2 linked regions of the Schizosaccharomyces pombe genome follow. Changing the gene in region 2 together with the main gene of any one other region gives a genetic interaction. Each region holds a gene or a part of one and is shown on either strand. Other genes may lie near its edges. The genes, in order: cdc31 and apq12.

Region 1 (3,935 bases), on a different chromosome or scaffold from region 2:
CTCATCATTTTTAGTTAAATACGAGTCAGGAACATTTGCAACGACGGTAGATTCATTGGCTGAAAAAGTATCATTAGATTCTTGCATCAAACGTTTCAATATTCTTGCTTTCTTACGACGAAGATTCCGAGCTTTTGTAGCTGATGAACCAGATCCGGGAGGCCGAACTGAAATATTATTAACATGGCCATCGAATTCAGCATTTAATTTGCTTTTTTTATTATCATCGGAAACACCCGTATTATCGTCCTCAACTACTAAGTTAGTTGACACCTAAATAATGGGACTTACCACTTGAACGCAAGGTATTGCTCCAAGTATTTTCAGATTCTACACTATCTGATAAAGGGGTTGTAAAATTTTTTCCTTCTTCTGAAGGTTTTTCAGTATTTTCACATCCTCGATGAACTTTGGTGGTTTCACTAGATAATTTGCTAGGAGAGGAAAAGTAGTATTGGCTAGGTTCATCATAATGTAGATAAGATATTTCTTCAACAGTAGGAGGCGTACTTGAAGAAGGGGCGACCTCAGATTCTACTGCTTCATTTTCGGCTTTAAAGGTTCCTTGTGGAAAAGAAAACTCGTTCGCCGTATTTAAAGAAACTGACACCGATACATTATTAGAAGAAATCGTATCTGAAGAAGATTGTCTCGCTGTGTCCGAACTTTCATCCCCTGAAGAAGAATCACTGGTTGACGATAGGTCACTTGAATCTGAAACTGAGCTTGAAGATTCGGAAGAGGATGAGTCAGATTCCGAAGGAGTTGAATTCTTTGATTGAGAAGTCAACAATGAATTGAGCTCTGGTTGCTGTACTATTGAAGCTGAAACGAATTCTTGGTGCAATGATAAATCGGAAGCAGAAATTTGCTTAGCATGTAGAGACTCATATTTGTTTTGTTGAAAATTTGCTTTAAAAATAGTATCATTTTCATTTGAAATTTTCGACTTTTTGGTATTTAAAGCATAATTTTCGGGCATATTAGCGTATTGACTTATAGATGACAAGGGGGCATTTCTCTTTTTAGAAATCCATGAATCATTAGCTTGATAACGAGGTGAGGCACGACCAGCTAAATCAACTTTTTGCATCGTTTCGGGTGATAGCATTTGCTGTTTTTGTGAAGCCTTGCTATTCATGAATTTAGACGACCATTCTCTAATATTTTCTTTAAGTTCATTTGGACTATCTAGTCTTAGTACAAGCACCTCGCAACCTCTGTGTAAGCCTTCAGACCTTGGTAAAGCACGAAGCTCAAGAGTATCTGTCTCTTCTAGGAATAGTCCATACGACATAGAGACAGGTAAAGCGAATCCGTCCTTAGCGAGTTGTAAAAACATTTCATTACCAATGGTGTACCTTTTAATACTTTCATAACCTGTGAAGATAGCGCGTTTATCTTCTAGTCCGGAAAAGTTGAATTTGATGATATTGTAAAGTAAATCAGCCACTAAACTAGATGAGTCTGATAAATCAAGTTGGGACGTATGAATCCATTGTTTTATAGGAACCAAAGGTTCACAACTGCTAACTTTCAGCAGCATATTGACTATATTTTTCTATTAGTTATAACGAGTGTTTCGTTGTGCAGAGGATTTTTTGTGAACACCTACAGGTTATGTGTTTATTTTCATAAAAAGATTATGATTAAAGAACTTAACTGAAAAAAATGCGTCAAAGTAAAAAACCTAGTATGAAGACTTTTTTATTGATTGTGATGGTTTGTTTACAAGTTCTACACGTTGTCAATTTAACATTGTTACCATATTATTCCGTAAAGTAATTAACGATGTGCTACTATTTTGTTAGAATCAATGCGTACAAGAAGTGTCATGTAAATACTCACACACCTGCTGTTATTTAAGACGTTCTGTTTACCACCACATTTACATGTTTGCTAACGCACGGGCTAAAAGGCGTTCAAGGGCATCTTCACCGACTCCTGCAAGGTTGGGAGGATATGCGCCTTTGCGAGTAGAGATTACAGAGGAACAGCGACAAGATATTAATGAAGCTTTTAAGCTGTTTGACTCTGATAAAGATAATGCTATTGATTATCATGAGCTCAGGGCTGCGATGCGTGCTTTAGGGTTTAATGCGGAAAAATCAGAGGTTTTAAAAATTCTACGTGATTTTGATAAAACTGGCAAGGGCTACTTACAAATGGAGGATTTTGTTCGCGTCAGTAAGTGTGCACGTCTTGGCATTGATATATTTTATTAGATGGAAATTTAAAATAGGGAAGACACATACAACTGGCTTGAAAATGAGTTTTTTTTTAAATTTCTTTTTCCACTCTTATATGGCTTGTCATTCTTCTTCTGTTGAACGTGTTTACTAATTAGATATAGTGACGGAAAAAATTGTTGAACGAGATCCATTAGAAGAGATTAAAAGGGCTTTTGAGTTATTTGATGATGACGAGACAGGAAAAATCAGTTTAAGGAATCTTCGAAGAGTTGCAAAAGAGCTTAATGAAAACATCGACGATCAGGAATTGGAAGCCATGATTGAAGAATTCGACCTTGATCAGGATGGAGAAATTAATGAGCAAGAATTTATAGCAATTATGATGGATGAAGCATAATGGAGAACACATGCTAATTTACTTTTTTTTCGTTTACGTCAATTAATAGATAAAGTAGCAATTAGCAGGGACACATGTCTTTCGTTTTAAATTCTTATTTATATATAACAAATCTCTTAAGTTCTTCCAACCTGTTTTTCTATCGTCCAAGCAAACTGCTAAAGAACCCTTTATTTTTCTGTTTAGGCTCTTTCGAAACTGATGTAACAGGTTTTTCCGGTTGTGCTTTCTTTTTGTCAAAAGAGGTCTGCTGACCTAGATATGTAATAGCTAAATCAAAGAATAAAGGCTTTGCTGGAATAGCCCTAATATCAGCGTCTGTAAGATTCCAAGATGGTTCTAATTCTGCAAGCGTTTGATAACTATCAAGTGTTTCAACCAACGACAAGTTTTTAGGTGGTTGATTTATATTTCCCATGGATGCCAAACTTTGTAATAGCAAAATTTTCTTTTTTAGCTCCTTTTCGTCTTTTTTAAGTTCAGGGATTATATCGAATGCTATAAGATGTGGCTTTTCTTCAAAGTTGCGCAATATATCATTCACCTGTTGTAAATACGAGGCAGCTCGTACACACATCGCAAGACTCGCCAGTTTATCCTGTGCCTGGTAAGCATCGGCAATAGCCTGGCAGCGTTTACTCTTAGCCAAAGAAATTTGGGCTTCTAGTTGGGCAGTCATACCAGTATCTCGTGCAATACCGGGCAATTCTTTAGCAATTTCAATGTTCTATAGCAATCTATTAGTATTTGTCCCTCCTTTCTCTTTAAAAATTATTTCTTCTGAATAAAAGCAAAGTCTTACCTTAATAATAGAATCATACAAGCTTTGACGAGATCGAAGCTGAGCTTGTGAAGCAACCAATTCGGAATCATTCTCAACTGCCAAGTCTCTTTGGATACGGAGCAATACTACATTGTAAGCCAAGTAAGTATAACAAATAGAGAGAGTTTGGAATTTTTGCTCGTCTTCAAGGCCTGTGTTATCAAGAACGCTTTTGGTAATTTCTTCTGCTCTAGCCCATGCAGCAAGCAGACGATCTCTTTTAGAGTCTATGGTTCCAGGAGAATTTTTGACATCGTGAATTGCATATAGAGCCAATACGACATCAGGATGCTCTATTTTTACTCTCTGATCTCTCCATTCAATGACTGTGATAGTTTGCAAGGAATCTTGTTCATCTCCGGTCATTTGCAATATTTCAGAATCAACGGAATTTACATGCTGAATTACCTCCTCATCCTTCGGTATACTTGACAACATCAAAATGTCTAATGACTTGGTCTGGTTTTGCAAGCCAGTTCTTTGAGCAACGTATCGTAAATTGGAATCAATTTGATTTTGGAGT
Region 2 (2,909 bases):
TACCACCAAACCAAAGTCTGATTTCGGCACGACTACATTGGAATTAAAAAAAATGAATGAAGTTGCAAACCTGGTGTAGTTCGCTATTAGACTTTAAGATTTTGGACCCACAATTGTTAACTGAAATAACGATGCAAATTACGGACAAAGTGTTACAGTAATATTATGCGATTAATAATACAACGGTGTAATATAATGATATTATTATTACTGAACTTACAAAAATCTGATATTCCAATACTTAATAATTTAATAGAACTAAAGAACGAAGTTTCAGTTGGAAATGATTTTGCAGTCTTTTTGTTTTATATAAATTTATATTATATAATAGCAATGCCTACTCTCTGTGAAATGGAATTATAAATGATAATGTAATACAAAATGAATACTATTGTGTAAAGATGTGCAAACATTGTACGAGCTGCTACATAATATTGCATAATAAAGATATTTTTACATGTATATCACTAATAAGAAGTTGGGCATTGAAGAGTATTAGTCTGCTATCTTTGCAAATTGCTTCTAATATGTATATAAATAGCTTGGGAGAAAATTATTATTAATATTTAGTCTTTAGTAAGATCCAACAATTTAATTTATTAGAGCTACTTGTTTCATGCCGTTCTTAAATGTCCAGAAAAAAGATTTATTCATTCCAATAGAATAAATTAATATAATAAACAAGCATTCCCGCTATTCCAGCGTTAATATAATGGGTTTCATATGCATATTCAAAATGTATATAAAGGGTATACTAGCCACATTGTCATGTGCAGCCCTCGCTTAAGTAATAGCTTAAAACAACTGTGGGGTTATTGAAGAAATGAAAATGTTAAAAACGTAAAAGTTGTTTGTTTGTACGGTTGGACCCTCTAAACACTTTTTTCTATTCTGACATTTAATTAATTTTATGATGAAGATTTTTTTTATGTTCAGTAAGTAAAGCGATGCCTTATAACAATATTACAATGGTAATGGTATAAATAAAGATAAAAATTTTATAGCAATTGCAAGAATGAGTACTTTTGAAAACTCGGTTATTGGAGAATCAAGCTGAAGTGGTTGAAGCGAGCTAGTAATAACTCACTTTAAAGCATTTACCAATTGAAGTCTCACAAGCCTTTTGATATTTCGAAAAGGAAGGAATTATGCTAGGCACTCAGCATAAAAAGAACCATTTTATATGATAAAGGGCAAAGGGAAATTAATTTTCTCTCTATAATAGTAAGTATACTGTTGGATATTTATTCCAAAGGAAATATAGGCGGTGAATTCTACTTTTATCTTCTGATCTCTACGCTTTTATTATCAACCGTAAGAGTCTTTCTTTTATAGTAATAACAATCCAGTTAAAAAGGGATAAAAATACTTATCTTCCTTTTTATATATTACTAATCCTAAAAGAGCTTAGAAATAAGCAATTTTTTATTAACTAGTTCTTTATAAAAGCATATTTATAGAGAAAAGCATTTCATGAAATTATGCTATGTACAGCGAAATACGAAAATAAAATACCTCCTTTGACTAGAACTGTAAGCAACAAAGAGTAAACAATAAAAGCTTGTAGTCATTAGCAAATTAGATTTTTTTATCAGTAGTCTCGATATTAGATGAGATATGTTGACATAATCTGTTTGCCAGTTCTTTCTTTAAATGAGTTTTGTTTATAGAACCGTTTATTTCAACTCATCTTCCAATTTTTATTTTAACATATTTTATTAGCAAATGTAATCGTTGGTAAAATTCGCCTACAACGTCAACATTCAGTCAAAAAGCACACCTAACTACTCCCATCTCTATTACTCCCCGTTCATATTTTAACTTTTTAGAAAATGTCTTTGACATCCGTTTTATGGAATTTCGTCGCCAAACTTGCTGTGGACCATGGATTAAATACCAATCCTGATCAAGTCTTTCAAACCGTTGAAAATGTAGGCAAAAGTTTCGAAAAATATGAAACGTCTTTCCTAAAATCATTGTTCAATGGAAATCTAGGATTGAGCTTGCCCTCAGCTATTAATATCTTGACTTTGATTATAGTGTTATACTTCTCTTTGGTCATTGTAAATAAGACTACCAGTATTGCCCTTGCCCTCTTCAAAACACTTGCTGTAATTTCTTTTTTCTTACTAATCGGTTGTCTCTTTGCTTACTGGTTTATCAATAACGGATCTTTTTGAACATTGACTAGCAGCGTTATCTTCTTTGTTTTTTCAGATTACCGAGTACAAAGTGTTATGGATATGCTTTAAAAAATTTTATTTTAGTAATATATTTTTCATCTTTTTTGTTCCTCATTTCATTTATCATTCAAGATGGTTTCGACATTATTCTTGATTTTAGGACTGTATACGAAGAATGGCTAAAGGCCTGTAAAATATTTTTTAAATTAAAAGCATAGTATTGAGTACATTAAACATCTTAACAATTTGCGTTTGCAATATAAAACTTCAATTTCAATTAGTTACAGTTTTCAGAATTTATTTTTTTTTTGCAACAAAAATATTCAATTGACTTATCAGTGATATGAACGGAGTAATTCTATGAAATGTGAATATGAAAAGGAAGCCATCTCAAATAATACTTCTTATTTGCACAGCAGAAATTTGATTATTGCTTGGCTCAAGTACATGGTGAGTATGACATTATTATTGAGAACGACCTGGCATTTACATCCAATGTTTTCCTTCATCAGAGTTACGCAAACGCATAGACTCGATTTGGATGAAACCAGAGGTCCATGTAGGGTCAAATCCACCAAGCTCATCCATAGATGACAATTTCTCGTCATAAAGATGAGCAGTATCAGATTTACGACCGAGGACAGTGACATTGCCCTTGTAGACAGAAAGTTTAACTACACCGTTTACTACCTCTTGAGAAACGTTGTTAGCTGCTAAAAGCATACG

Evidence for each region.
Region 1: of apq12 (region 2) and cdc31, a mutation in one rescues a mutant of the other (synthetic rescue), as found in Schizosaccharomyces pombe (one study listed by BioGRID).

Annotation. Positions count from the first base shown.
Region 1 is NC_003421.2:376,337-380,271, forward strand, and holds the start of cdc31 (spindle pole body half bridge protein, centrin Cdc31), read left to right. Parts: upstream 1-1,869; 5' UTR 1,870-1,892; coding exon 1,893-2,187; exon of another isoform or gene 2,188-2,353; coding exon 2,354-2,589; 3' UTR 2,590-2,728; coding exon of another isoform or gene 2,729-3,316; 3' UTR 3,317-3,391; coding exon of another isoform or gene 3,392-3,935. Other genes in the region: coilin Mug174 , read right to left, coding at 1-254, 292-1,546; srp68 (putative signal recognition particle subunit protein), read right to left, coding at 2,729-3,316, 3,392-3,935. UniProt on the Schizosaccharomyces pombe protein: Required for the proper coordination between exit from mitosis and the initiation of septation. Has a role in bipolar spindle formation during spindle pole body (SPB) duplication. Required for the localization of sad1 to the SPB.
Region 2 is NC_003423.3:447,102-450,010, forward strand, and holds apq12 (nuclear membrane organization protein Apq12), read left to right. Parts: upstream 1-1,832; coding exon 1,833-2,180; 3' UTR 2,181-2,297; downstream 2,298-2,909. Other genes in the region: arg12 (argininosuccinate synthase), read right to left, coding at 2,670-2,909. UniProt on the Schizosaccharomyces pombe protein: Involved in the regulation of lipid homeostasis in the endoplasmic reticulum, thereby impacting nuclear pore complex biogenesis and localization, and nucleocytoplasmic mRNA transport.